4 linked regions of the Schizosaccharomyces pombe genome follow. The protein of the gene in region 4 purifies or fractionates together with the protein of the main gene of each other region. This does not show direct contact. Each region holds a gene or a part of one and is shown on either strand. Other genes may lie near its edges.

What was found.
Region 1: the proteins of sdj1 (region 4) and sup35 purify together in Schizosaccharomyces pombe (affinity purification with mass spectrometry, with the first as the bait; one large-scale study listed by BioGRID). This does not show direct contact.
Region 2: the proteins of sdj1 (region 4) and fib1 purify together in Schizosaccharomyces pombe (affinity purification with mass spectrometry, with the first as the bait; one large-scale study listed by BioGRID). This does not show direct contact.
Region 3: the proteins of sdj1 (region 4) and pyr1 purify together in Schizosaccharomyces pombe (affinity purification with mass spectrometry, with the first as the bait; one large-scale study listed by BioGRID). This does not show direct contact.

The regions. Positions count from the first base shown.
Region 1 is NC_003421.2:1,530,085-1,538,511, reverse strand, and holds sup35 (eRF3-like class 2 translation release factor sup35), read right to left. Parts: upstream 3,114-8,427; 5' UTR 3,060-3,113; coding exon 2,930-3,059; exon of another isoform or gene 2,896-2,929; intron 2,847-2,895; coding exon 988-2,846; 3' UTR 501-987; downstream 1-500. Other genes in the region: SNARE-binding protein Sec1, read right to left, coding at 199-239, 278-305; SPOM_SPCC584.03C (GTPase regulator), read left to right, coding at 3,835-5,490; Cu metalloregulatory transcription factor Cuf2, read right to left, coding at 5,759-6,167, 6,212-6,304, 6,355-6,386. UniProt on the Schizosaccharomyces pombe protein: GTPase component of the eRF1-eRF3-GTP ternary complex, a ternary complex that mediates translation termination in response to the termination codons.
Region 2 is NC_003423.3:2,980,396-2,987,168, forward strand, and holds fib1 (fibrillarin, rRNA and histone methyltransferase), read right to left. Parts: upstream 3,316-6,773; 5' UTR 3,287-3,315; coding exon 2,369-3,286; 3' UTR 2,009-2,368; downstream 1-2,008. Other genes in the region: yml6 (mitochondrial 54S ribosomal protein uL4m), read right to left, coding at 1-51; snr1 (mitochondrial 37S ribosomal protein mS47 ), read left to right, coding at 667-1,956; nucleosome assembly protein Nap2, read right to left, coding at 4,314-5,453; UV excision repair protein rhp23, read left to right, coding at 6,569-6,637, 6,678-6,750. UniProt on the Schizosaccharomyces pombe protein: S-adenosyl-L-methionine-dependent methyltransferase that has the ability to methylate both RNAs and proteins. Involved in pre-rRNA processing by catalyzing the site-specific 2'-hydroxyl methylation of ribose moieties in pre-ribosomal RNA.
Region 3 is NC_003423.3:2,188,027-2,197,461, forward strand, and holds pyr1 (pyruvate carboxylase Pyr1), read right to left. Parts: upstream 6,512-9,435; 5' UTR 6,406-6,511; coding exon 2,848-6,405; 3' UTR 2,619-2,847; downstream 1-2,618. Other genes in the region: translation initiation factor eIF2 gamma subunit tif213, read left to right, coding at 1-1,026; rpl1102 (60S ribosomal protein uL5), read left to right, coding at 1,699-2,223; SPOM_SPBC17G9.12C (hydrolase), read right to left, coding at 7,174-7,998; protein cup1, read right to left, coding at 8,558-9,435. UniProt on the Schizosaccharomyces pombe protein: Pyruvate carboxylase catalyzes a 2-step reaction, involving the ATP-dependent carboxylation of the covalently attached biotin in the first step and the transfer of the carboxyl group to pyruvate in the second.
Region 4 is NC_003424.3:5,020,424-5,026,979, forward strand, and holds sdj1 (glyoxylase III Sdj1), read right to left. Parts: upstream 3,429-6,556; 5' UTR 3,330-3,428; coding exon 2,851-3,329; exon of another isoform or gene 2,753-2,850; coding exon 2,656-2,752; 3' UTR 2,655-2,655; downstream 1-2,654. Other genes in the region: phosphoenolpyruvate transmembrane transporter Pet3, read left to right, coding at 1-244; SPOM_SPAC22E12.02 (splicing factor, WW domain -binding Rbm42), read left to right, coding at 1,761-2,068, 2,303-2,654; superoxide dismutase Cu chaperone Ccs1, read left to right, coding at 4,513-4,521, 4,574-4,700, 4,856-5,613; Rer1 family protein, read right to left, coding at 6,377-6,556. UniProt on the Schizosaccharomyces pombe protein: Catalyzes the conversion of methylglyoxal (MG) to D-lactate in a single glutathione (GSH)-independent step. May play a role in detoxifying endogenously produced glyoxals. Involved in protection against reactive oxygen species (ROS).

The sequences.
Region 1 (8,427 bases), on a different chromosome or scaffold from region 4:
CAAACCAAAAGCCAAAGATGTGAAACTGAACGGCTCCAAATTAGAAATAGGCCAATTTTGATAGTTTAAAAAAAATATGTCGGAGGAAATAATATGCTGCATATTCACAAATTCAATTCCATTTAAACAATATCCAAATCAAAATTCCCAGTAAACATTTCAGTGCACGTTATAAGTTTCACGGGTTCCATCTCTTACCTTCGTAGCACATTCTACTGAATTAATTTTGCTAAGAAACACTTATTTGTTAGTAATACACCAGCACAAATAACCATACATTCTTTTTGGAGCTCCAGCAGTGTCATCTCAAAACGTCAATGTCCCGTATTCCTAAACGGAATAGCAAAAACTATACCTTTCAACACTTCAATGCTTACTCTTAAAACCAAGCAACGTCAAAAGAGTACGTGAAATTCGGATACGGTACAGAAATGCTGGTGGAATGTAAACGGTAGAATGATCGGATTACTGTAAATATGATCCACCTCGGTATTTATTCGGTAAGATTTGGTGTAGTAGCACAATAAATTTCAGTATATCTAGTGATTTAAATAAACTATTATTTTACAATATTATGAAGATTTCAAGTGTAGTTTTAATCATTAATATGGATTGTAAAAAAACAACAACTTATTATCACATTTCACCCTTCCATAGCTGCAAAGTGCAACTGCTTATTTACTATTTGCTGACCTACTCCTCGCATTGAATTCTGTACGAAAAAAGTAAATAATTTCAAAGTGAATAGGGTGTAAAGGAGTGAATGTCCATTATTCTTCATATATACAACCCATCGCATTGAAATTAGGCATAGTAATACGCGTATATAACGATTAGATATACATCTTCTACCATACCGCTAGTCCACCAACTAAAAAATAAGCAAATCCCATTTTGTCCTAGTTGGATTATATACAGTAGAACCATAAAGTGTCATACATTTGCATAGAAACAAATCCCGAGCACGAGAAAATTGCCGAAATTACCCTAATCCAAAATTTTTACGACTTTGCCAACTGCAACCGTAGTACCCTGATCACGCAAAGTGAAACGGCCCATATACTGATAGTCCTCAAACCTTTCCATACAAACCGGAGTTTGTGTTTCCAACTCTGCAATAATTTTCATACCCTTGGTAGCAAACATGGGGGGTTTCTTGCTTTTGCGGTTTGTTTTGTCAAGTTTATGGAGCAACTTGGCAAATGAAACTTCCTCGACAGCGGTATGAATGTGCATTACACAAGAATAACCAGTTGTCAAAATTGAAGGCAACTCAAGGATCGCAATTTGTGCAATGAAACGAGTAGTAGCATGAACTGGGTTTTTAGTGGATGTTAAAACATAACCAGTTTGGACATCCGAATCGTCACCACGGACACGGAGACGAACTTGGTCACCGCAAATAGAAGAAGAGATTTCTTCATCAGCTTCATCATATATGGCTGTAACTTCAAGGGTTTGATTAATTGGCATAACCAATACGTTTGAATTTTTCTTAATCGAACCAGCCTCAATCTTTCCTTCTAAGATGGTACCCAAATCTTTATACTTGGAGGCAATAGGCATGATGAATGGAGCATTCACTTTGCGTTCCAAATGAGTCATAGAATCCAAGTATTCTAGCAAAGATGGACCTTGATACCACGGGCAAACCGAACTGTCAACACGATCCTTAACGTTTTGACCAGTGTAAGCAGAAACGGGCATATATTTAACATCAGTCTTTGAGTTGTATCCAGCGACACGACGCAAAAACATGCTGAGCTTATCGACACATTCCTTATAACGCTCCTCCGACCACTGAACGCTAGGTTCGTCCATTTTATTAATAACGACAACTAGATGATTGATGCCTTGTGTACGAGCCAATACGGCATGTTCACGAGTTTGACCACCGCGCTCAAAACCAGCTTCAAACTCACCACGACGCGCTGAAATGACTAAAACACCAATATCAGCTTGAGAAGCACCATTAATCATGTTTGTAACGTAACCTTTATGACCCGGAGCATCCAACAAGCTAAAGCGACGGTGTTCGGTTTCAAAGTAAGCACGACCAACTTCAACGGTTTTACCTTTTTCACGTTCTTCAGAAGTGCTGTCCAAAGCCCAAGAAAGATACCAACTTTCTTTACCAGCTTCTTTAGCTTCTCTCTCTATTTTCTCCATAGTACGCTTGTCAACCATACCAGTCAAGAAAAGAATATTACCACCCAGGGTAGACTTTCCTGCATCAACATGACCTATAAAAACAATATTGACATGTTCCTTTCCATACATATCCTTCAAAAGCTCTTGATCAACCTCATTTTGTAAATCGGTGGCATCCTCAGTGACAGTGGCGGGTTCAGCTGCCTCAGCAGCTTTCTTAAGAGCCGCTGCTGGAGCAGAGGGTGTTTTTGCTAGTTCAGCATCAGCAGATTTTGTAGGAGTTTCCTGGGGAGGAGGAGCAGCGGTCTCCTTCTTTGTTGACTCAGAGGTAACCTTGGGTGCAGGGGTCTCTGTTTTGCTTTGTGCAGCAGGTGCTGCTGGTTTGGTAGTTGTAGGAGCTTTTGTTCCACCAAGGCTGATGCTAATGGGCTTTGTAGACTTAGGAGCAGAGGTGTTTCCACCCAGGGACAAAACCTTTCCTTTGGGAATTGCTGGTTTAGGAGGCACAAAACTCTTCTTTTTAGAAAAATCAGGGACACGGCTTTTATCTTCATCAACAGTGTTTCCTGTTGGCTTTTGGTAGTATTGCTGATAACTCTTCGTAGGATGTGGCGAGTTGCTGTTTTGTCCTTGGCCTGTATATTGGGCATAAGGATAACCACCAGCAATATTGTTCACAGGTACAAATCCGGGGCCTAGCAAGAAGTTAATAATTTTTTTACTTAAAACAAGCAATCATCTCAAGACATATGGATGGTGTTCTAATTAAAAAACGTACGTTGGAAAGAAGGAATGAAGGGAGCAGCTTTAGGCGTAAACGTAGGTGCCTTTGCAGACATCGACAGTTTAGAAGTCTGCTTGGCGAGTTGCTCATCCTGTTCACCGTTATTTGGCTGATTACTAGCCATTTTTTGCCTTTATTAAAATATGTGGTAAAGGGACGGTGATGTTGAAGAGAATTTACACCACAGTATACACTGTGTATTCTTTTATAATATAATATTACGAGTACTTACGATGATATTATTAGCATCCTTTATATAAGCTTGTGCTATAGTAATTCAGTTAAGTTCATAAAATATTATATTTGAGTTTAATTTTACATTTGGTTGTAAAATCGGAAGCAACTGAATTGTAAATTGGTCATTTTCTCGCTTTTTTCTTCAGTAATACGCTATTATTGTCTTAAACAGGTAAAATATATTGACTTGCCTTGGGAGATAAAAAACAGAAACTTCGGTGGGCTTAATACCAAACACAACATTTATTAGCTATTGGGTTGAACAATTAATCAAAAGTTTTTAAATCTATTGGTTAATTAGTCTCCATTGTCACCAATAATCACTGCAAGGATTTTGTCATGGAAGAAACGATGAATCAGCGTTACAGCTTCAAAATATATACCAAGCAAGTTCCAAAAGATTCAATATGTAAATCCATTATATAATTATTCACTTTAGGATTTCCTTATACAAAATTCTATAGGCGTGTTTGGATATTAAACTTCTATCCTCCACATATCACTATGACTTAGCGCAAGTTCTATTTGGTTCTCAATTTACTACGCTTCTTTTTATTTCGTTATTAATTTGTTGTTAAAAGGAATAAATACAATTTGAATGACCATTATTTATTTGTTTAGCCTTGTTTTCTCTTGTGTTTTTTAAAGCCGCCTTTTTAGAAATGGATGAATTACTTAATGTAGCTTCTCATGCTGCGACATTTGCTACGAACTTCGCGTTGAAACATAGTATATCATTTGCAGGAAAATTAGCTGTTCAGCAAGTTAGCAGCTATATTAAACGTGCCTCTGCAGATGATCAAAGTGAATTGGAGTCTGTGAAAACTCAACTGCTTGAAATGATTCGAGTTGTGACGCCTGCTATCGAACTAATTGAAATAATGTCAGTCGGTGAAAATGAAAATTTTAAGAGTACTAAGCAATTAGTGGATTCTTTGCACGCTGACATCGAACAATTCACCAAGCATGTTTTAAGCGCCGCTCATTCGGAATTTCCGCCTTCCTCAGAAAAAGAAACTTTGCAGAAGAACGTTGATACGTCTATTCTTCGTGAAATGAAAACTTTACTTCTCAAAATTAATGATGCAGTTCCTCTCTTAAATCTGTCCATCACTACTTCTGGTGCTTCTATTTCATCTTCTCTTCCAAAATCTACTTCATTTTCCCAACTTCTACGAGCTAATTCATACATATATAGGGCGAATGTTGCATTTACTGGAAATGAACCTTTACAAGTTGGCCCCACATTTTTCCTGCGAACTTATAAAATTATAGATAACCACGCCAAGTCTGGTTATATAAGCAATGATTTAGTCATGTGGAAAGAAGAGATGCCTGTTTGTATCGCCAAAATGTTTCGCATGCCTCCTCAACGGTTGAAGTCCAAGGATACGGTTCTAGCCTATGCTTTATCTTTAAAACAATCTTTTGATGATGATCGTTACCATGATGAAGATGAGACTCCTGTCACCAAAACCATTTCACTAAATGATGTGCGCACGCTTTTTTTTAGTTTGTCCGGTAAACTTCTTCGGTTAGATGATGTACAAACTCCCGTATTATTACTCAAGTATGCAGATGATGAAACAGAGTATTCTTCAAATACAGCACCTTCGAACTGGATAGCTTTAGAAGCACTTCCTTTGGTATCAATACCTAATGAATCATTAGACGAATCTGATGAACTTGCAGAATCTCTTAGTGATTCTGAAGCTGCTAGGCTACAGCTTTTAGGCATCAAAAAACAAGAATCCGTTGCAAAGAAAAAGTCTTCCTTTCCATCGACTATAAAAGATCAACCTAATTTAACTTTACTGGAGTATTTGATTAGATTATGCGCGCTCGAAAGTACTACCCAAGAATCAGTTTTACAATTACCTGACGAACAAATTGCATTGTATCTTAAAGATTATCAAGGAAGAGAGAGGCCCCGAGATCCGGCTTCATATAATGCCTTAGAAAATCGAAGTGAACTAAGCGCCAGTCCAGGTTCAGTATCCTCCTCCAGACATTCTGGAATTTTTGCGACACCAACGTTTCTGTCACCATGGAATATTAAAAACATACCTCTTGTTACCCCTGAAGTTTCAACACGTCAAACGAAAAATGTTGATGAAGAGGATTCAGCTTTATTGATGGCTAGCCCTTCTGTCCGGAAGTCCAATTTACTTCCTCAGGAGGACCTCATTTCAAAGGATTCTGTGATTAAATTAAAAGAAAACCCTTCTGTTATTCCTCATTCCGAGCCTGAATCATCGTCGAAAGTTATCAACTGCCAGGCTAAATTAAATGTGGAAAAAGAAAAGAAAAACCCGTGAAAACTTTATCAGAGTAATATTGACGCTATTCAATACACAACTATTCTAAATTTCACTTCCCATGGGAAATCCTTGAAATGGTGTTTGATCCCCAGTAAATTTGAATACATAGATTTCTCTAATGTTATATGCACCTTTTTAGACGACCAAAACATTCAAATTACTTCATCTTTTTATGATTGAATACTTTATGTGAGAGTACTTATACATATGATATGACAATAACCTTCATTTGTCGCTATTTGGAATAATAACGAAAGTTGTGAATTCAAGGGATTCCGGATATATCGTCTTTGGAATGTAAGTACTTTGCGAAATTGAAAATATCGGCCTCTTGGTTTATGGTAAAAGAATCGTTTTCTTTTTCATTCAATTGACTTGCATCAATGCGATTAGAAGCATCTGTTAGTGAAAGAGGTTTCCTATATCCTAATATATCTTCACTGATGGGTAGTGTTCTTCCTAAATCGAAGGTGTAGGCTTGACTTGCAGGATTTAAAGAAGAATTCATAATATCTTTGTCGGTTGAAAACAAAAAAAGGCTAGCCAATATTGGGTTTTTCTGAGTGAAATTTAATAACTCCTGATACTCATTGGCGAAGGGTAGAAAAGGCTGCAAATGACAAACGCATTTTAAATTACTCTTAAGTTGTTGTTTTATGGCTCTGCATTTTTTGCTGAATTTCAAGTTAATATTTTTTTTCTGATCAATGTGACATACCATAGTAACGGCCTTCCTCTAGTTCGAACTTCTATCAGTGCCCTTTCTTGATGCTGGCAGGATGAGCCTCGATGACCTCGAAGGCATACAACACTAGAGTAAGTGTTAAAAATTTTATCTTATAACCATACAAAAAGTCTTACCAAGCATAATTCTTACCGTCAATAATGATCATGATTGAAGGTATTTGTGATTAAGGGAAAAGAAGACAAGTAGGATTCGAGTAAATAAGCTAGTCGAGGAACGTTTTAAATAAATTCCTCTTATACGTTCTCTTCCTTTAGGTTGATAAATTGTAAATGACAGCTTTTTCCCAAATTCCTTTTTCCTCGTCTCTGCTTTAGCTTTCTGATCCAGAAGAATTGCACAACGGATATTAATAGAAGACAAGACGAACAGCTAAGTGTTTTAAAATAATATACTTTACTTTTAAATATTTCCAATGTTTGTTGTTTGTCAAAAGTTTGAGTGCTGGCATAAATTATTTATAAGCTCTAGCTATGGACATTTGTTTACATATTATGGGATAAACAAATACATCAACTTATTGACACTAACCAACAATAACATACAAAATAGGAAGGTATTAAATCACTATGTTCAATGTTTTTGAGCACAATTTCGTAGAAAAGATAATTTTGATTTAATGAGTGTGCAAACTGATCAAATTGTGATTTTTCCTCGAGGCGATTTCATTCTATGTTTTTATGATTGCGTCAATTCTCTAAGCAGTTTTGCGATTTTCTGCACTCTAAACTTGTTAAATAACTTTTGTTTGCAAAAGGTACCAGATGCTATAAAGACTGGATTTTGTTAATATACTACTTTATATTATAACATATATGATTTTCAGATTACAAAACAGCTTAAAAGTTTGCAACCTAAAGACATAATAACTTTTTTATTGATTGCTCATTTATTTTAATTGATTATTATTTTTCAGGGTTATATCGAGTTACTTTGTTTTAATGTCAGGTTTAAAAAAATAATTAAATGAAAGTAAATGTAAAATGAGGTAGGCTTGTCAGACCCTTCAAATTTTTTTAAAAAAAATTGAAATATTTCTTTCAGAAAGGTATGATTAAACTCACAATTTTTTTCGATTTCAAAAAATCTTTTAATCAATTTGAATATTTGCTACCTACAAATATTGTCACATAATAGAAATGTAGACGAAGTGATTTCATCAAATTAAGGAACGTTCAGTATTTTAAAAAAAGATATGTAAATTCTACAATTTGTGACGATTTGGAGATGCTACTATTTGAAATGTAAATGTATTTACATAAATGTATATTTGCTGCTAGATGCTGATATACTGGGTATAATGAACATAATTACAGCACAGTACTTAGATGCATTTAGCGCACTATGAATAAATCAGTAAATATTGAATACCTGTCAATTTTCTGGAGATAAAACTAACTAGCTAAACTAAAATCATATAATGGAGCTTCTAAAATCAAGTACGTTGCTGAAATCGAACACATCAATACGTGCGGTTCTTTACTCAAATTCACTTGACATTCTATTTCATGTTTTTCAGAATGCGAAAGATGATAATGTCTTTCTGATCAGATTGCTACAAGATGAGACTACTAAAAGTATTGAAATTTAGAAAACCTTATAAAAACAATAACTACCTTGCACACACATTTTCTTAATTTGATGAGAATAAAACTGCTAACCCCAACGGTCGTTATTTATCGTCTGGGTATCCGTAAATCTCTGTATACCTGTTCAAAGATATACAACGTCACATCTGTCAACTACATTCCATTATGTTGTTAAATCCCTTCAAATGTAAGCTACGCAGTTTGGTATCTGATTTAAGGATACGTAGAACTGCGGTGAGTTTTCCTTGTGATCTATTATATTACAATACACAGGTTGTATAAGTAGCAACTGAGTATAGGTATTGTATTAACTGAGTTATAATGTTACCTATCACTAATATAGCTTATAACTGAACTGAGGAACGAGGTTCAGCAGTAGCTCTATTTATATTATTCAGATAATATAGATCTTGATAGATTATCATTAAGATCAATCTCAATATCGTATCATACATGGTACTATATATAATTAGAACATGTGACATATAGTGATACGCAACGTAGTGTATTATAGCGTAGTGTAGTATTGCTGACATCAAACAATTCTTTAATTACAGTAAGAAAAAGCACCTCCATTATCCTTAATAAGAATAACGAGCT
Region 2 (6,773 bases), on a different chromosome or scaffold from region 4:
CTCCAACGACGGAAATTTATATCGCACCAAGTGCAACATTTTTGCTGTCATTCTGATTAGTTTGTGAAATGGACGACTAGTACCTGAAGAATGGATGTATTTTACTTTCAATTAGTCTAACACAATGTACTAAGTATCACAATGCATTTCATTATAACATATTGTGCATTCAAAAGTATCGTAAAGCGTAAAGTATCGAGTTCATTAAATTACGTTGTTTTATGCAACAGGAACTTTATGACTGTATACTGTTAGATAAATTAATGATATCTCATTCATTACCTAAAATAGAAGAAATAATTATTTATACTATGTGATGTCGTACATTAAATATTTGGAATTTGCTCATTCTGACACCTTAAATTGTTGTTGCAAATAGCACCTGTGTATTACAATAACAGTTTTGAGTACTCAATGCTATGCAACAAGTGGTTTAAGACTTTTAAAATCGACAAACCCTGAGAAACTAAATTAATACTAAATATAGATTTTTTGAGACAAGTATTTGCCCAGCTAATGCATGGAAACCTACTTTGTTTTACGAATGGTCTTTTGTGATTTGTTATTAGTTCACAATTAAGAACACACTTCGTTATAAAGTAACGTAGAAGAGACGTTAACCGTCTATGCAAAAATAATCGGTGTTATTTAACTTGGTTAGCTTTCATGGGATTGAAATTAAATATCTCTAACGATTTGAAAAAATCTGGATTTATGTTAAGGCAATCCTTACTTAAAACAAGTGTGTCAAATTTCCTTTCTTTGAATGCAAGTAGCACCATGTCTAGAGCGTTTATTCGAAATCCAAAATTTTATAGCACTTCCTCAAATGATACAGTTTTATACGAGAGTAAAAATGGAGCAAGGATATTTACTTTAAACAGGCCAAAAGTATTGAACGCTATCAACGTTGACATGATAGATTCAATCCTACCAAAGCTAGTTTCATTAGAAGAATCAAATCTGGCCAAGGTAATTATTCTTAAAGGAAATGGTCGCTCTTTTAGTTCGGGAGGTGACATTAAAGCTGCAGCACTTTCAATACAAGATGGAAAATTACCTGAAGTTCGCCATGCATTTGCTCAAGAGTATCGATTAAGCCATACGTTAGCTACATACCAGAAACCAGTTGTGGCTTTGATGAATGGCATCACCATGGGAGGTGGATCTGGTTTGGCTATGCATGTTCCTTTCCGTATTGCGTGTGAAGATACGATGTTTGCTATGCCAGAAACCGGAATTGGCTATTTTACTGACGTGGCTGCCAGTTTCTTCTTCAGTAGACTACCAGGATACTTTGGAACTTATCTGGGATTGACATCTCAAATCGTAAAAGGATATGATTGCCTGCGTACTGGAATTGCAACTCATTTCGTTCCGAAGCATATGTTTCCTCATTTGGAGGACAGGCTTGCAGAGTTAAACACGTCTGATATTTCTAAAATCAATAATACAATCCTGGAATTTGCCGAATTTGCTAGCAGTTCACCACCCACTTTTACTCCAGACGTTATGGATGTCATTAATAAATGCTTCTGCAAAAATGATACCGTTGATATTATTCGTGCGTTAAAAGAATATGCTTCAAACACTAGTGCTTTAGCGGAATTTGCAAAATCTACCGTTAAAACATTGTATAGCAAATCTCCGACTTCAATTGCTGTTACCAATCGACTTATTAAGTCTGCTGCTAAGTGGAGTATATCTGAAGCATTTTACTATGATCATATCGTTTCCTATTATATGCTTAAACAGCCTGATTTTGTTGAAGGTGTTAATGCTCAACTTATTACAAAGACCAAAAATCCAAAATGGAGCAAATCCCATGAATATCACTTTAAAGATTTAGAAAACTATTTCAAGTTGCCTTCAGAATACAATAATGGGATATCTTTTGCTGCAAAAGGAAGACGTAAAACTCCCCTTTGGAATTATAAGACTTATCCTTATTTATAATCCCAAAGGTTACATAAATTAAATATTGTTCTTTATGTCTACTAAGTTTTTTCAGTATTATAATAAGATGATTTATTTCAAAGACCCTGTTATGTTTTAGCATGCGATAAAGCACATAACTCTTTTTAGCAGCTAAAAATAATGATAGCCATTTTAAATACTCATACTAAAACTCTTTTTCGGTAGCTGTGCGTACGATAGTTCAAAAAAAAGAATGCTAACGGCATTAATATATATTCCATAATTCCCATATTGGATCAAACAATGAGAAAATAATTGACAAAACTGCCAAACGCATACCCAAAATATATTTTTATTATTCCAATTGCTCACGGCCTTACCATAAGCTTTTCTAGCAAAAAAAATTATATGATAAACTAAAAAAGCATGCACTTATGGCATATATTTCTGTTTACTGATGTCTCAAGTATTTTCCTACGATGATACAGTGATCACGTTCGTAAGGCTCTAAAGTAAGTTGTTCTTGAGGTTTAATCTTTTCCTCTTGCATTTTCTTAACCTCACGAGCAAAAACAACAGCTGCATCAGCGGTAGAATCAATACAAGAAGCCTTAACAGAGATAACAACTCCACCTTCGTTTTTCAAAAAGGCGGCGGCGTTCAAAGCAACGATACGAGCCTGATCGGGTTGAGCAACGTCTGCAAAAACAACGTCAACCATTCCGACTAACATACGATACTTTTGAACATGGCGAGCATCCTCAACAATGGGGATGACATTCGTGCGCTTTTTAGCCATGTTAAGAAGATCACGTCCAGAACGATGAGAAAACTCAACAGCGTAGACAAGACCCTCAGGACCAACAACATCAGCAACGTGAGAAACGGATGTACCGTTAGCAGCACCAAGATATAAAACACGTGCACCAGGTTTAATATAGATGTTGTCTAAACCGCCCAAAATACCTGCGGCAAGTTTAGAACGGAAAGGATTCCATACACGGTATTCAACTTTGGTACCATCTGGGGAATCAACGCTAATACGTTTTTCATTGTATACTGATTCACCAGGCACCAGATTGCGGGTGACAAGCAAATCTTCTTTTCCGCGAGCAATGAAGACACCTGCATGACGATGAGGCTCAATAATAACTTTAGCACCTCCTTTGGCTCCACCACGGCCACCGCTAGAACCACCGCGGCCTCCTCTGGCACCTCCACGACCGCCACGACCGCCACGAGCACCACCGCGTCCTCCTCCTCTGGCACCTCCACGGCCACCGCCGAAACCACCACGGCCACCATTGAAACCACCACGGCCTCCTCTAGAGCCACCTCGTCCACCTCTTGAACCTGGTGTATATGCCATTATTTTTTTTTGTGGTAGGTAATGGGTCTGTAAAATTTTTAGGATAGCAGAGAGGATTACAGTTGGTGTGACTACGAACACAATTCTGCAACGCTAAAAATTTTTACGAGTTCGAAACAATCTGTAAAACCTCTAGTTAACGAAGGTAAACAACGCTAAAGCTAACTTAATGACATTAGTAGCATCGCAGTGTTATTATTTGCAGCTCATAACTTCTCATTAGTAAGGTAAACATATGTAGCAAAAGATGGGTTCCTGCTGTTTGAAAAGCAATTGTTTTAGGTCTCAGCAACAAATTAGAGGTATTCAATATAATTCTTTTGAAAGATTGGTGAAGAGAATGAATAGACATCTCTACTTGTGTTCATATAATAATTACGTTTTGACAATCGAAGTAACTAAACTTAGAGTTACAAGAGGTAGTGATTTATTGTCAGAACCGTTATTAGTTGTAGTTCTTCCAACCTAGTACTAGTTCTTATACCTTATCATATAAACTCGGTGTGAGCTAACAATGCACTTAAAGATTGTTAATTAATGTACGAACAGATCTAGCTTTGACGTATAAAATAAATAGAAAAAGCTATTGCAGATAGTTATAGTAATAGCCGCTTACTTTTTGCTGGCTGTCCGCATTATCATTTTAGAAAAGCAAATGCTAATAAATAACACCACAGCTTCAAATAATGCGCGTACTAACCTAATACTAGCTATTAAAAAAGGAACCATGTAAGTAGAATATACTCACAGAATGATAAAAAATTACTTAGTATATTTTTTATACCTGCATTGGAAAAAAAAATTCAAAATTTAAAAAGACAAGAAAACAAATTGAAATTTTAAAGACAAATCCTAACTTAGATCCGCTTATTAAATATTTTATAGGATACTACGACGTAAATCAACATTTTAATTTTTTAAGCCACAATAAACTTACCAAACTATAAGCGAAATTATCATTCAGCGTCAATTTCTCATTTTTGCTCACATTGAACTTACTCATAATCTAACGAACACAATATAAATATCAATCACTAATTTCGCTACTCAAAATTTCTTCGTCATCTGAAGACAGATCCTCCTCATCAGTATATGCGTCTTCAGAGTCTTCTTCATCCATTTGGTTAAAATCGCTCAAGTCACCTTCTTCTAAGAAACAGTCAATTGCCAAGGGTATGATTTGATCTTTAAAGACTTCTCCCAATTGATAGTCGAGTTCTAAAAGCTCTGTTTTGTCATCCAAACCATCATCAGATTCATCATCGTCCAACTGAGGAGGTGAGAAAAAGTTGAAAAAACTGTCATTAGGGACCGTAGTACGGACCAATCTAGTTTGATTTGTTTTACGGTTACGTTGTTTTTTTGTCTCCACTCTAACCGTTAAATTTTTTTCAGGCTTGATCCAATTAATCTTATCACCCTCAGCATGATCATACAAAAACTCACCCGAAGGACTTAAATCATCTTTATAGTAATAAGTTTTCGTTAAAATCTTGTTTGTAAAGTAATCATTTGAGTCAAATTCGAATTCTAGTTTGTAACCATGAACATCTCCCGAAAGGTTGGTAAAACGAATGTCGCTGAGTGATCGCAAGACATTTTCATCTTCTGGTGTTATCATTTCGCCAACCAAGAAAACATTATGAAGACAAGTCAGCCAAAATTCGGGAATTCCCTTAGGATCTGGAAGATTATTTTGAAATATTTCTTCCTCGTGATCTAATTCGTCGTCCACTGGTTCAGAAACACCCTTGATAATTTCGGCTCTTCTAGAGAAAATAGGTTGATATTTTTTCTCGTATTTTGTTTCCAGATCTAACATTTTTTGACGAAATTCATATTGAATTGCATCACAATCTTTTTGAAGGCCTTTCAATGCTGTAATACGATTTTGGACTGCTGGCGCAAGGCTCTCTATATATCCCGACGACTTTCCAACCAACGAGCTAAGGCGTCCCTCAATCATTGATAACATGGCCGGATTGTTGCGCAATAACCCGCTAACTTCATCATGTGCTGATTTGTCCTCCAGTTGTGATTGCAAGGTTTGTCTAGCTTTTTCTAATGCGGCCTTACTAAGATGTACATCTGAAGATGGAGTATTTTGTGGCGTTTGAGCAGCAAACCCATTCCAAGACTTCTTAAAATCTCCTGGACCTTTAGACATATTTTAATAATGCAAACGGAGATTAAATTAAATTGGTAAAGCTTCGTTGTTGGACTGTGGATCTTCGTGAAGTCTACCAAAGAGATGTTGGGCCTGACTCGTTATTGCAGCTTAGCATATTTTAATGATATGTTTACAGCATTTTTCGTATGAGAGTCTTTAATGAAATATATTTATGTGTTTAGCGGCTATCATAGTTTGGGATAGTATTTGGGGTTTTATTTGGAAGAATATGTAAAATTAGAAAGCATCCGGAAGTTTACATATACGTTGACTTTTTTCTCTCCGCTTTCCTTATACTTTCTCTGACAAAGGTAATGGATTGTATAAACCAAAGGCGCTGCTTTCAAATTCTGATGTAGCTGTCCAAATAGCTAAAAAAAAAATCAATGAAATAAACAAATGTATATATCTCGTTTAAGCAAAGTGTCTACGCTATTCATATTAGTTTAACATATGTATCGTATCCCAATTATTAGTTGAAAATTCTATAAAAAATATATATATATGGATACTGATTAATAAACAACTCTACGTATCATATACTTCTATATTCATGAGTTAAACAACCTTATTGTAGCATTTGTTTACTAGTTAGTTGCCCACGGAGGAGCGAAAAACTATCGGAACATAATTCAAAAGTCAAACTTGTAAATAAAAATCTGCTATTGTAACGGTCATTGCTAACTTAAATAAACAAATCATAATTAATATATATAAATTTATTAGCGATCGTTCTGTAAATAAATAGAAAATGAGAATGAATAATCCAACAGAAAAATATATATATATATAGTAAATTAAAGAATAAAGAATAAACTAATACACTGTATTGAGTACTAATGGACTTGGAAACGAGGTAAATGTTTCACTCACAACACTTTCAAACAAATGAAATATTTTCTTACATTAAATTTTAGGTTCAAATAAACCAAACTGTTTTGCTTTTTAGATTTTTCATTCACATTTTATGATAAACAATGCGATGATACCAAATAATGTTACTTGTGTATGGTGTTTGTTTGCTACCTTGACAATTATTCTCTGATGCAACGTTTTTTCAAAGAGGTTTTCATTACTATACATTTACCCACTACGCCAAATTTGCTTTGAAAATGAATTTGACATTCAAAAATCTACAGCAGCAGAAATTTGTTATTTCTGATGTTTCTGCAGATACCAAAGTATGATAATTGTGGCATATTATTTTTCTAACGTAAACAGATTTCAGAATTAAAAGAAAAAATTCAAACGCAACAGAATTATGAAGTCGAACGTCAAAAGTTAATTTACTCAGGTATATAACATAATTTTAATATG
Region 3 (9,435 bases), on a different chromosome or scaffold from region 4:
TTGGTTCGCCATGTATCGTTTGTCGATTGCCCGGGTCACGATATTCTTATGGCTACTATGCTGAACGGTGCCGCTGTCATGGACGCCGCCTTATTGCTGATTGCTGGTAATGAGTCCTGTCCTCAACCTCAAACTAGTGAACACTTGGCTGCCATCGAAATTATGCAGTTAAAGCACATAATCATCCTTCAGAACAAAGTGGATTTGATTCGCGAATCAGCTGCTGAGGAACACTATCAATCTATTTTGAAGTTTATTAAGGGTACCGTTGCTGAGAACTCTCCTATAGTCCCTATTTCTGCCCAACTTAAATATAACATCGATGCCATTCTCGAATATATTGTTAAGAAAATTCCCATTCCTGTCCGTGACTTTACCACTGCTCCCCGTTTAATTGTAATTCGTTCTTTTGATGTTAACAAGCCTGGTGCTGAAGTTGATGACCTTAAGGGTGGTGTTGCTGGTGGTTCTATTTTGACTGGCGTTCTTCGTTTAAATGATGAAATCGAAATTCGTCCTGGTATTGTTACAAAGGATGATGATGGCCGCATCAGATGCCAACCTATTTTCTCCCGTATTATCTCCCTATTCGCTGAACACAACGATTTGAAAATAGCCGTGCCTGGTGGTTTGATTGGTGTTGGTACAACAGTCGATCCTACTCTTTGCCGTGCCGATCGTCTAGTTGGTCAAGTTTTGGGTTCCAAGGGCAACCTTCCAGAAGTTTATACCGAGCTCGAAATTAACTACTTTTTGCTCCGTCGTCTTTTGGGTGTAAAGAGTGGTGATAAAAACACCACTAAAGTTCAAAAACTTGCCAAAAACGAAGTGTTGATGGTCAACATCGGTTCCACTTCCACTGGTGGCCGTGTTATGATGGTTAAAGCAGATATGGCAAAGATCCTTCTTACCGCCCCAGCATGTACCGAAATTGGTGAAAAGGTGGCTCTCAGCAGACGTATTGAAAAACACTGGCGGCTTATCGGTTGGGCTAAGGTGGTTGAGGGTAAGACTCTAAAAGTTTAGATTTTATCGTTGTAAACATTGTATAAGATGAATTCTCATTTTTTAACTTTTAAAAAATAAACAATGGTAATGTCTACGGTTAAACTTAACGATGTCTCGTACACGGTGTGTGATTTTAGTACAGTTGATGAATCATGTAGTTGATACACAGTGCTAATAGATGCGTATCTACATCCCTATTTTATACATTCGGATCTCTGTGCAGTATTTAATGTTTCCATTATTAATTAGTTAGACTATTTTCAACATTTACTCTACAGCGAATTTATACCTATTTAGTACACCTGATGGTACTAGTTCCTTATAGTAAAGCAATAAGTAAATAGAAGAGTCATAAATCTATATTTACTATTATTTGATTCTAATCAATTATGCTTATTTACTTGACTCTTTCGTTTTGTGGTATTTCATTCATAGTATGTATCTGTAAAATATGCTTTCACTTCCCAGACTTTTGGAAGCCTACAAAAAAAAATATGAAAATTTAAAGAAAGTGAACGATTCAATTCTTTGAATACAAAAATTCTATCAAATAAGCGATTTTGATCTTTTCCCAATTAGCAAACTCTAAGGCAACGACATTATTCAGAGCCCTAACCTAAACAAGTGACTGTTAATTTCGAATGCAAACAACACTAGGAGACGCAAAACGAGCTACCTACATCAAACACCATGGCAGAGAAGGCTCAAAACCCCATGAAGGAGCTTCGTATCTCCAAGCTTGTCTTGAACATTTCTTTGGGAGAATCTGGTGATCGTCTCACCCGTGCTGCCAAGGTTTTGGAGCAACTTTCGGGTCAAACCCCCGTTTTTTCTAAGGCTCGTTATACCATTCGTCGTTTTGGTATCCGCCGTAATGAGAAGATTGCTTGCCATGTTACTGTTCGTGGTCCCAAGGCCGAGGAGATTTTAGAGCGTGGCCTTAAGGTCAAGGAATACGAGTTGAAAAAGCGTAACTTTTCTGCCACCGGTAACTTTGGTTTTGGTATCCAGGAGCACATTGACTTGGGCATCAAGTACGATCCTTCCATTGGTATTTATGGTATGGATTTCTACGTTGTCATGGACCGCCCTGGTATGCGTGTAGCTCGTCGTAAGGCCCAACGTGGCCGTGTTGGTTACACTCACAAAATCAATGCTGAGGACACCATCAACTGGTTCAAGCAAAAGTATGATGCCGTCGTTTTAGGAAAGTAAACTTCATTTGGTACTACTGTGCTTACATTCAATTGAAAATTAATTCCTCATCTTGTATACTTTAGTGAATTCCAATAGCGCCTTGTAATTTCCAAACTGAAAAAACTTGTATGAGCAGTTGTATAGCTAGTAGTTTACAACGCAATTGACATTGACACTGATAATAGAAAATTGATAACCTGGAAGATTAGAACATATGCGTTTCTTCTGAGATCGTAATGCACTTCAAGCATGAAACGTTAGTTCGCTGGTTCAGTGAAACTACGTACTAAAATTTAGTAGTTTAGTTGTCAAAAAAAGGGTAATTTAAAAATCGATCTATAAAAAGTTCGTTTATGCTACAGTCATACGAATTAATCAATATACACAACCTTCCAGCTAAGTGCCAGAATATTACCTTAAACAAAATACCTATTCATTTATAATTAAGGCAAACGCCAATATTTTTTCCTGCAATCGTTTAATAAACCTTAAATAGTTCAAATGGAACAAATTACTCAGCGACCTAACAAAATAAAACTTTAAAACATTTCTCCAAGCCGCTTCTTTTAAACGCATCTAAGCACACATCACCCACGGATGAAATGAACCTGAAGCAGAATCCAACAAACTGGAATCGTAAATTTACTCGTGTTCAAGAACAGCACACAAATCACCACCATTCACAGAATCACCCTGAACAACGGCCAAAGACTTGAGCACACCACTGTGAGGAGCACTAATAACAATTTCCATCTTCATAGCACTTAAAACAGCAATAATATCTCCCTTCTTAACCTTCGCACCTTCCTTAACACGAATTTCGACAATTGTTCCACTCATGGGGGCTGCAACGTGTCCAGGATTACCAGGATCAGCACGAGGTCTGGTAACAGTTTCTATAGCTGCTTTCTTATCTTCAACAGTAACATGGCGGTTCTCACCGTTCAACTCGAAATAAACTTCACGTTGTCCAGTACGAGGGTTCAATGGTCCAAGAGCGACAAATTTAACGATTAAAGTCTTACCTTGATCAATTTCAACGTGCATTTCTTCGTTCATTTCAGGTCTAGATAAGAAGAATTTAGTAGGAACAGTGGTCAAATCACCATAGCGATCGACAAATTGACGATATTCCTCAAAGACACCAGGAAATTGGGTGTAGGCAGCGATATCACAATCTGAAGAAACACCAAACTTCTCTGACAATAATTTGCGGATAGCATCGAAATCAGCAGCAGGAAGGAATTTACCTGGACGATCAGTCAAAGGTTGACGACGACCTTTAAGTACATTAGTACGCAAAGGCTCTGGAAAACCGCCATATGGTTGACCCATTAAGCCTTGGAAGAAATCGAGTACTGAAGCAGGGAAGTCCAAAGTGGTCGCACGATTCTCAACATCCTCAGCACTAAGTTTATTTTGAACCATAAATTGGGCTAAATCACCAACCACCTTTGAAGTGGGAGTGACCTTAATAATATCTCCAAGCAATTTATTGGCTTCAATGTACGCTTTCTTAGTTTCAGCCCATTGAGTGCCCAATCCAAGGGAGGTAGCTTGGAATTTAAGGTTGGTTAATTGACCACCGGGAATTTCGTGGTTATACACATCTGAGTCAGTACCCTTGATTTCAGATTCAAACGGAGAGTAAAGCAAACGCATTTGAGCCCAATAACTATCAATTTCGCGTAATTGATTGTTATCAAACTCCAATTGCTTATCAGTACCATCGACAGAGGCCAAAACGGCGCCAAAGCTAGGTTGGGATGTAAGACCAGACATGCTATCAGTTGCAACATCAACAACGTCAGCTCCTGCCTCCAAAGCCGCAGCCATGGAAGCAACAGCAGTACCGGCAGAATCGTGGGTGTGAACATGAATAGGTAACTCTGGATGTTTCTCCCGAATGGCAGAAATAAGAAGACGAGCAGCTTTAGGTTTCATAACGCCAGCCATATCCTTGATACCTAAAATGTGAATACCCATTTCAACCATTTTATCAACAAGGTTAACATAGTAATCAAGGTTATACTTCTTCTTGGGATTTAACATATCGCCAGAGTAACACATAGTGGCCTCAACAACACCGCCGGCGCGCTTGGCAGCATCAATTCCAAGAGAAAGGTTATTAACATCGTTCAAGGCATCGAAAACACGGAAGATATCGATACCGTTCTTTTTGGCTTGTTCACAGAAAAAGTAAATAACGTTATCCGGCAAACTTGAATAGCATAAACCATTGGCACCACGTAAAAGCATTTGGAAAGGAATGTTAGGAACCAACTTACGGAGTCTACGCAAACGATCCCATGGACATTCATGAAGGAATCGCATAGAGACGTCAAAGGTGGCACCTCCCCACATCTCCAAAGAATAAGCGGAAGCAAGGGCATGGCTCGTATATGGAGCAATATTTACCAGATCAATGGTACGAACACGGGTAGCCAATAAGGATTGATGGGCATCGCGCCAAGTGGTGTCCATGATAAGACCACGCTTGTGATTTCTCACAGCCTTGGCAAAGGCAGCAGGACCGTTGTCTAACAATAATTTACGCCAACCTTTTTCAGATGGATGAGAAACATCAATTTGATTTCCTGTACTGTCTAACAAAACGGGCATGACAATCTCCGACTTAAGAGCTGGCTCACCATTTTGGCCCTTAATAGAGCTGCCGTTGACAGCAAGATCACCGAGGTAGGCCAGAAGTTTTTGAGCGCGATTACGGGAACGATAAAGTTGAAACAATTCAGGAGTGTCATCAATAAAAGTTGTCCAACAGTTTCCTTGGATAAAAGTATCGTGCATCAATAAACGCAAAACAAAAGGAATGTTGGTTTTGACACCACGGACACGGAACTCGATTAATGAACGAATCATCTTACGACGGGTATATTCATATGTAGCATCATGGCATGTACACTTGACGAGCATAGAGTCATAATGAGGAGTAATGACAGAACCCGCGAAACCGTTAGCACCATCCAAACGGACACCATTTCCACCAGCGGAACGATAAACTTCAATCTTACCAATGTCGGGAGCAAAGCCATTGTTAGGATCCTCAGTGGTAACACGGCATTGAATAGCAAAGCCGCGAGTGCTAATTTTATCTTGGGTCAAACCAATTTCTGGAAGGGTAAAACCAGCAGCAACGTGCAACTGAGCCGATACAATATCGACACCGGTAATTTCCTCAGTAATCGTATGTTCAACCTGAATACGAGGATTAATCTCAATAAAATAGTGACGTCCTTTTTGATCGAGCAAGAATTCTGCAGTACCGGCGTTGCAATACTTCACTTCCTTGGCAATCTTGATGGCATCGTCATAAAGTGCTTGACGGATCTTAGGATCCAAATCTTTGGCCGGAGCAATCTCCACGACCTTTTGATGACGACGTTGTACGGAACAATCACGCTCATGTAAATGAATGACATTTCCAGCCTTATCAGCCATAAGTTGAATCTCAATATGCTTGGGTTTATCCAAAAAGCGTTCAATGAACACAGTGCCATCACCAAATGAAGCAAGGGCCTCAGAACGAGCACGCTCAAATGACTCCTTCAAGGTATCGGCAGAACGAACGACACGCATACCACGGCCACCACCACCCATGGCAGCCTTGATGATAACGGGGAGGCCATATTCCTTAACAAAAGCCTCAGCTTCTTCATAGTGTTCGACGGGACCTGGAGTACCAGGAACGACTGGGACACCACAGCGAATGGCGATTGCACGAGCTTTCGTTTTGTCACCAAGAGAGTCAATGACTTCGGGGGAGGGGCCTACAAATTGCATGCCAGCTTCGTTTACCTTTCTGGCAAATTCGGCGTTTTCGGAAAGGAAACCGTATCCTGGATGAACCAAGTTGGCACCGGTGCGTTTGGCGATGCTGACGATTTCGTCAATAGCCAGATAAGCTCCTACTGGACTGTACTGACCGACCTTGCCAATTGGATAGGATTCGTCGGCCTTTTGACGATGCATCGACAGTCTGTCTTCATACGAGTAAATGGCGACAGTGTGCATCGAAAGTTCATGAGCAGTTCGGAAGACACGAATAGCAATTTCAGATCGATTAGCTACCAACACCTTGGTAAACTTCTCTCCTAACAAGGAGGAACGATCCTGCAACTTGCTGAAAGGGTTTGTGTTGGTACTTTGATTGTGCAACAACGCATCATATTTAGAAGTCATCTTTAATTTTATATCGCCCCAATACTGAGACTAGCAAATTGCACCCTCTTTGCTAAATACGAACGTTTTTTTGCAGAGTAGCTAACGCTAGATGTAGTTGCTGGTTAAAGGAGAGATGACTCGATATGCAAAATTACGCAAGACTATTGCTTCGAAGATAGAGGGTTTGATGAAAACGGCAGCCTCTGCGTTCACACCAATCACACAATATAACGAGGCATAACGGAACCCTAGCTGGTCTCCTTAGCTGATAGCCGAAATATAGGCCAATCGTAGTTAGTAAAGATAAGCGTAATCGCAATTCAACTGTCGGTAAAAAAAATCAAAAATTTGATTGGAAGAAAATGACCTAACCGAATACAGATCATCATGATTAGAATATGTACTTGTATGATTAGTTGAGAGCTTCGCTTGTCTCGGTAAGTCCGCTTATTCGGTCGAGCTTGAACCGGCTTAACGGACATGCAAGGAGCACTAACAAGCGACAGTAAACAGTAGATTTGAAAGAAGAAAGTGAGATGGAAAATAAGTAAAGAAAATAAGGGTTGTACCGGCTTTACATAGAAGCCAAGAGAGATGGAAAACAGAGGAATTGTGAACGTTCTCCTTATTCATATTTCCATAAAGCTTCTCCAATGACCTTTATTGAGAAGATTTGATCGCCTTGATCTCGCGGTGCTTTTTTGTTGACGACAAAAATATCAACAACTTAAATTTTGAAGCTTTTGATCATCTCTCCGCTGTGTTCTCTTGACGATAAGAAAAGCTTTATGCGAGAAATGCCTTTTGGATAGCGCACCAGTCGCTACAAGTGTAAATGATTTTTTTACCTGGCACAGCTTTTTGAACGGGGAATTCAGATATATCAACAAGTTGCACATCCTCGAATCTGGACAAGATATCATAGTACTTTTGATTTGAACGCATCAAAATGCTTATGGGGGATATCTGGAGGCAACCGAAATCAGTAGGGGAATCACCGATATAGACAACATTAAGTGGAGACGAAACTGCGTCTGTTTGCACTATTCGCCGAAACTCTCGTACTTTGTCCGTAGAATTCATTAGAAGTGAACTTGCATTTCTCGCAAGTATCCTACCGTTTGTTGTGTTTGTAGACGTATCGAAGTCAAAGTCGTTGGCATGGACACACAACAAGTCTGCGGTTAAGTCCGTATGGTGAAGCAGGGTTTGTTCGATTACTCTTGCAGACCAATTGACGGAAAGAACGTGGAAAATGGTTTTGCTTACACGGAGATCGGGCACCAAAGCATTGATGAACTCTACAAATCCTGCGCGCAGGGTGATCAGTTGTACGATGTTGTCAAGGGCACCCTCCGATAATCCGGAAAAATATTGAGATTTTTCAATTCTTTTTATACTAGCTTCTTCGAGATATCGACTTCCTCCTAGTAGAGGTAAATAAGATGTTAGCGTGGTAGAATGCGGTAATGCTTCACGCCAAGCCAAATACTCTTGCCAGTATTTATCAGATATTACGCTCCATTCTTCGGGCTTATTAACAGCTTCAGCTAGGAGGTGGATTGTATCGTAGGTGGTAATTGTCTCGTCAAAATCCACTATGTACAGCATTTGCCAATTTTTATATGAGAAAACGATAGGTGTTTGAAAATAGATGTTCACGTAGAAAAAACCAAAAGAAGCTATATTAATGAATGGAAATGATTAGGAATGCTAATCTCTTTCACCAATTTTGAAGGAATAGAGATGTTTTCTAAAGGCGAAGCTTTTAAGTCTGAAGGCTAGAAGAAGTAGTATGGTTAGGCAGAAGACTTGAGCATGCATGTGTGTGGACGAAATCCAAAAATTAAACCGGCGAATGATTTGAGCACTGAAAGGAAAAAAGAAGTCTTGTATTGAATTAATTCATAGAGTATGATAAAAATTGATAGTAAATTCATTGGTATACTAAAGTGATGTAGAAAATTAAGAAATCACATAGACTACTTGAGTTACGATGATTTATTAGCATGCATCCGGACCGTAAAGCAAAAGAAATTAAATATTTATGAAAAAAAAAATAAATGATTCATAACAAGCAGATGAAAATGATGACGAATTAGGACTCTTCAAAATAAATGAAGATTATACATTACAAACTTTGGTCTGACTTTTTAAAGCACACGATTTGCTACCTTTTTTTGACTGACTTTTTAAGAACCTTTCCGACGTTTAGCCTGAGCTGAATGTCTGACAAAGAGTCCCACGATACAACAGGTTTGGAGGTAGGGTGAGGATTATAAGGCAAATAGCAAACGGCACTCAAAAAGGTTATGAGCGATCTCTGTAAGATACGACAGAACCCCTTTCTGGGGTTCAGTGGTGCAAACGGTGGTCGCGAAATTTGTGGATTTCGAAGTGTGACATCTAAGAGAAGTGAATGCAAGTGATGATATTCATGTGGTAAGAGTGGGACAGCAATACGAGGCAAAAGTTCGTCGTATGCCCTCTTGCAACTAAGGTTAATATGGTAAGGGCGATCTTTGTTTTTCTCTATTAAACCGTCAAATATGACGCTGGGCAAATGGCGGATTTTTGCATTTTCCATATTTATCTCAAAAACGGCCGATAATAGGGATGAAATGTAAGGAAGACGAACTGGTGAATTAGATGGTAAACTTTTGGGTATCTTTGAAGGTCGAATTTTATTATCTTGTAAATAATGAAGACGCCTATGACGAAGAGGACCTGTTTGTGAATAAGCGTATCGTAAAGTCTGCCATATAGCTTGATGGTCGCCATCATTGGCGCGCTCAATACGACATGCAAAAGTTTTTAGGAGATTGCGAAACCGTTTTATGCGCCGCTTGTGAGGATTAGGATTTGACTTGCGAGCTTTTCGGGCGTAAGCTTGAAAATGTGAGATTAGGATTTGGGATGCCATTGGATCCCAGAATCTTCGAGTTGCCTTTAATAGTCTTCGATAAAGAGGGACTAGAGTCGAGCACTGCCTGTCCTTTGGTTGAGGTAAGTGTAAACGAGAGTCATAAGTTACCAGGCTACCTAAAA
Region 4 (6,556 bases):
AGAATTTGGACTGATTCAAAAGACGAGTATTGTGACTTTAAGCGTTTGTGGAATTTTAAAAGAAATTATAACTATCATCGCTTCTACATTGTTTTACCATGACATTCTTCTTCCTATCAACATTGTCGGCTTGGTAATCACGCTTTGCGGAATCGGTGTCTACAATTATTATCGTATTACAAAGGGAAACAAAAAAGAAGCCGAGAAAGAAGTAGAATATATTGTTTTGAATGAAAATGCTTAGATTTCTTTCTTCTTGAAACAATTTCCTTGTTGCTAGTATTGCGCGTTCTGTCGTTACATGTCTTCTTTCTTATCTCACCTGTGTTGCATTAAAGCAGAACACAACAGCGTGATGATACTTTTCACAAATAACTCCCTCTCCTCATTTTGGTTTGCATAGCTTTCTTATTAACACTTGGTTCTTTATTTTTTTTAGTAATTTGAGTGATACGAATGTCTTCTATCCTTATTCATTGGCCGACTAGGCCATGGTTTTTTTATTTCTTAATATTTCTTCTTATTTTTCTTCCTTTTAATGCATCCACATAACAAGTTCTCGATAATTCCAAGAACAGAGTTTTTGATCATTGGTCAGCTAGTCTCAATGTGTTTAATCGTTATGGTGAAATAATCTTAATTCTTTATTATAGACAAACTTAATTTTGTATATTTGAATTCACAATTTATACTTACACACATTGCATGCTTGGAAAGGTAATTATTCCTCGATTCTTATTTGACTCATTCCACGAATCAACTGGAGATCGTTGATATAGTCAACTCATAATTATGAGGAGACTTGATTTACTTATTTTCTACATACATATGCCCCTTATGTTCTTTCTATGTTTCATTTTCACTGAAAGCGTAAAGATAAAAATCTTGATTGAGACAATTAATTTTCTATCGCATTGTATGATGGAATTTTGTATAGTGAATAGGATTAAAGATCTTAGCACTATGTTTAAACAGGTTTTTTTCATTGTTCAATAATATTCTTTCTTCATCCATTTAATATATTTATTTTAATAATGCTATTGGTATTATTTTATTGAAATTTACATATATATTCGTTTATAACGTAGGCTACACTTTATAGTTTAAAGACAGTTATTGTAACTGTTATGTTTCCTTGTCAGCAATACTACACTACGCTATGATACACTACGTTGCGTATCACTATATGTCACATGTTCTAATTATATATCGTACTATGTATGATACGAAATTGAGATTGATCTTAATGATAATCTATTAAGATCTATATTATCTGAATACTATAAATAGAGCTACTGCTGAACCTCGTTCCTCAGTTCAGTTATGAGCTATATTAGTGATAGGTAACATTATAACCCAGTTAATACAATACCTATACTCAGTTGCTACTTATACAACCTGTGTATTGTAATATAATAGATCACAAGGAAAACTCACCGTAATTCTACGTATCCTTAAATCAGATACCAAACTACGTAGCTTACATTCCTTATACTTCAATTGCGATTCTTTCAACCCCGTTATTTGTGGAGGACGAAAAGAATTCGATACTCTAAATATTTTATTACCTTTCGACTACTCTTTTTAGTACAATTGCTAATTCCCTTTCAATCAGTTTTTATATTATCTTTCTTATTTATAGTTGCTAAATTTTTATCAATTGAGCGTCAATTCGCGAAAACCGTAAGACGCAGTTAGCAAAAAACTCCACACAAGCGTGCAACCAAAATACATATCTTTCAGTTTACTCGAAATTTATCATGTCTCGTGTGAAAACGACGGTGGTACGAAAGGCTGGTGGACAAGTATGGGAAGATCCGACTTTGCTCGAATGGGATCCAAATCATTTTCGTCTATTTGTTGGAAATTTAGGAAATGATGTTAACGACGAGAGTTTATACCAGGCTTTTAGTGAATATCCATCTCTCGTAAAAACAAAAGTCGTTAGAGATCGTGAAGGTAAAACAAGGGGTTTTGGATTTGTATCGTTTAAGGATTCTGATCAATTTTTGAAGGCCTGGCGAGAAAAAAATGGTAAATATATTGGAAGCCGTCCAGTTAAACTTAGGTATGTTTAAAAAAAAAAGAAAGGGTGCATTATTTGAAGGAAAGGGTGTCAATAGCTAACGGTGATGGAAAACGTATTTAAAGCTCAATAGGCTGCCAAATTGTTTCATAGAAAATCCTAATGTCTAGTTTAAATTTCTTTTTCCCAAAATCACCGACAATTTTGCTTTGAACTCACTCCTTCTATTACATCTATGGTTAGTTTTTTTACACTACTAACATGTATGTTTTCTAGTCGTGCTACTTCTGATGTTAAGCCAAATGAGGTAAATGAAAAAACAATCGATTCTAAAATACGGAATTCACTTTACTCTCGAACTATTCATCACGGGAACCGTGTTCAAAAGAAAATAAAAAATAAGCATGGTAAAAATTCATCAAAATCATCGCGGGCGGCACAATCGGCAGCTGCGGAGCTAATATCATCATCTAGTATAACAGGTGCGAGACCGGCAAATTCCACATCAGTCCCAAACGCCGTTAATACAGAAATCAGTGCCGCCCGTGCTACCGAGTCCGAGGCTTCTAGAAATCAAACCAAAGCATCTCGAGACTATTCAAGGGCGAGTTCGTTTCGTCGTGTGTAGTCTAGGGCATACTAAGAGATTTATAGACAGCATTATACTTGTCCTTGCTTGCAACCTGCTCCAATAATTTTAAACCAAAAAGCATTGCAGTACCGGGTCTAATGAAAGAACATGTTAGCATATAGGTTAATGAAGAAATAAAAAAAAACAGAAACGAATCAGCTTGTTGGACTTCGTTTTGTCTTATGCAACTTACCCTTGAGATGTGATAAGATTCTCTTCAAGGACGACAGGTTGGTCAAGGTACTTGTAGCCACCTTCCTCTAGTTGACCACGAACAGAAGGATGACCAGTAATCTGTTTATTTGGAAGACCTGATGTCTTGGCTGTAAGGGTACCGGCACAAATCATTCCAATCCATTTATTAGGCTTCTTGTAAAATTCTTTAACCACTTGTTGAACAAAAGGAGTTGTAGAAAGTGTTTTTGCCCCGAGTCCACCACCAGGAATGATAGCAATATCGTATTGCTTTGCAAAGTCATCTGCACTGGGGATTTCCTTGTATGAACGATTTGCATACATTTCCACGTCACGAGACATCTTCACAAGTCGGTCCTTATTCTCTCCAACGTAGACGCTGTCAATGGGAATTTCTGCTCTCTTAAAAATTCCCCAAGGTGCCGAAAACTCAATTTCATCAGTGCCGTCCGCAACAAATAGGCAAACCTTTACCATTTTCAAATTTTTTTAAGACACTAGCAGGGTTCAAAAATTTAGTACAAAACCAAGTAAAACTCGTTGTCAAAGAAATTTCTCGCTTCACAAGTGTTTGGTAGTTGGAAAGTAATAGGTTGACGTATGATTCCATATATATAGGCATGGAAAGGCATAATTCTGGAAAACGGGCGATATACAAAGCGGTTGGGACTCCGAATGAACCCATTTCCTTTCATTCAGTTCCATAGTTTAAAAACCCCATATTCTCTAATGGCCATGAAACGTTCGCTAGTTGGCAGATTTTCGAGTATAAACAAAAAAGATTGGTTGAAGAATTTCGGCAACAGTTTACTTTAATTAATTCATTTTAAATAACTATAAATTTTATTCTAGTATGGACGAATATCAATTGCATGGATTCTATATAAGATGTTTCACAGTACTGGTAGTAATGTAATATACTAAGTCTTTGAAAGGCAAATAGATCAAACCGGAGCAAATATATAATCTCGATTGAAGTGAAAAAATTAATACTAAAATAATAATAGATGAATGAAAAAAAAAATTGCCAACAGAATTCGATTCTTTGTTTGAAAAGAAATCGAGAATACTCAATTCATGTATATATACGAATCACTAAAATTGTGAGAGTACTGTAATCACTAAACAGAACGTTCAAATTCTCCATAATATAAGAAAAATAATACTTAGAATTTAGATATTCCTACATCTCTCTATCGCCCATAGCATTTATTTTATTTTTTTAAATCAAACGAAGGAGTTGTACACTAACAATTACAGCTAAATGGTCTTTAAAAAATTAATGAAAAATAAATAATAATACAATCTCTATGTTCATTTATAAACCAACAGAAAGAAAAGCCATTTAACTCGCTTGGAATAAAAAACAAATCTTCCAAAAAAATTTAAAAAAATAAATAATAATAAATAGAAAAATCCAACATTCATTGTCATTTCTAATAAAATCAATGATATTCTTTAAAAATTGACGTTCATATTTTGCATTTTTCAATTCAATATACCATTAACTTTCCTTCTGACTAATCTTCATACTGAGTTTGCCTTCCATTCTAAAGTAAATCTCACCACCTTACGCAGTTCCGTAGAAGTTGCCATTTGCCAACATCAATAATATCATATTAAAGGCTTATTTTGCTTTCGGCTTCTTTTTGTTTTCAACATGTTTGAAGTATGGCATTTGTTTGAAAATTTGGTTCAAAGAGTGCTAATAAAATTTTTAGGTTGAATATCTCATTAAGGATTGTGACGACGTAAATAAGAATACCCTCGAGCAGGAATTCCAAGATTTAAACATTGAAGATTGGAAATGGGATGCTGCAACTGGTCAATTAATTGTGAAGGGTTCTGGTAAGTGATAAAACCAATAAGAAATGAGGAAGAAAAGAGAGATTTGTGAGTTCATCCTGCTTTACATTAGTTCATAAAATTGAAAGTAAATTGTTTGACTTCCTCTTTTACTTCCTATTTTTCTCATTTTACTCTTAGCTAACGTAGATTTTCAGTCTCTCCTTCAAAAGTCCTTCGGCGCTTGGAAAATGCCACTTCGAAGCCCATTCTCATTCGTGGTGCTAGTAACAAAGAATCGGGCGTTTCCATTCTTTATGAAGCCAATGAAGATATAACCCAGATTCCCAAAGTTTACGGACTTTGCCGTTTTATTCCCACCGAGGAGAAAATTTTCCTCGATTTGATTGCTACTCAACTCCTACCAAATAGAGAGTATACAGGATTAGTCACTATCTCAGGAGACATTTCCCGTGGACTCAAATCCGCTGGCGATAGCCTTGTTACCCTTTTTAATGCAAACTCCAATGAGCAAGGAAAAATTGTTCTCGACAAAGAGGTTTCTGGATCCTTACCAAATTGGATTGGTCACTGTTTCGTTCTTAAATGTGTCGACGATTCTGATTCCGCCACTATGGGAATTATTTCCCGTAGCGCTGGTTTGGGTCAAAATACCAAGCAAATTTGTGCTTGTACAGGCAAAAGTTTATGGACAGAGCATGCCGAGTTGAAATCCGTCAACGAGGGTTCTTCATGCTGTTCCAAGAAGGATTCTAGTCCATCAGAAAAACCTTCTTGCTGCTCTCAAGAAAAGAAAAGCTGTTGTTCATCGAAAAAACCTTCGTGCTGTTCTCAAGAAAAAAAAGGTTGCTGTTCAACAGAAAAAACCTCCTGCTGCTCTCAAGAAAAGAAAAGCTGTTGCACATCAGAAAAACCCTCGTGCTGTTCTAACGGAAAATCGACTGTCTGTGCTTAAGACGATACCATACAATTACTAACTTTATCATGTACGTAAATGTTTACTACAGTAGCCATGCTGTCAAATTTGACAAACACCTTTTAAATTTTGGTTTGCAGTTTATTAAAACTCCTTAGCTGTAAAGAATTTCATGTCATTTTGTTGCTTCAATGAATTTATTTTTGTACCTGCATGCTAATTATTATCCATATACAACTGTTCGTGAAGAAGCGAGTAAGCTTTTCGAAAGAGATACATGTCTTTCAAATTAGCCCACTTCCAGCGCTTCTGGATACAAGAATAAGCCGAGTATTCTGTAACTTGTTCGTTAATCAACTTCATCAAAGACCCAACTCCAATAAGAAAGATTTTTTTTTAATCATCACCGCATGACAATCCACATACATGTTAACAGAAATAATCGCCAATTTCTTTTAGCCTGATACAGATATCTAACATCTTGAATATGCATGAAAGATAGCTGTACACCCAGAGAACCGATGGATTACAAAGCATCGAAATTAGCATCATTATCGATGAAATTGCAGGTTACTGGGTTCAAAGAAAAAAGTAGTTTTATCGCGTAAAAAGAACATAGGGCTGGAAAAATTATTCCTTACATGTTTAAAAGTAAGAGTGGGCGATATAAAAACATAAAAAACAAATGTTTGTAAGAGAACGACTGAGGAGTATCCGATTAATATAATCAACTGAATGTGATCATATCTTTCTAAGAAAAAAACAATTTCGCGATCATGGTCATCATCAGCTCAAACACTACCTAGTGTGAGCCAAATTTTTTCTTACCGATATCAAATGGAACGTAACGATACTTGAGCATGTGCTGAATTTGTCGTCGAAAGCAGAAAAAAGAAAGTACAAGATAATAGACAACAAGAATAGGCCAAAACACAGGTACATCAAATATTCGGAAAAAGGACGCGACTAAGGCGAACAAGGT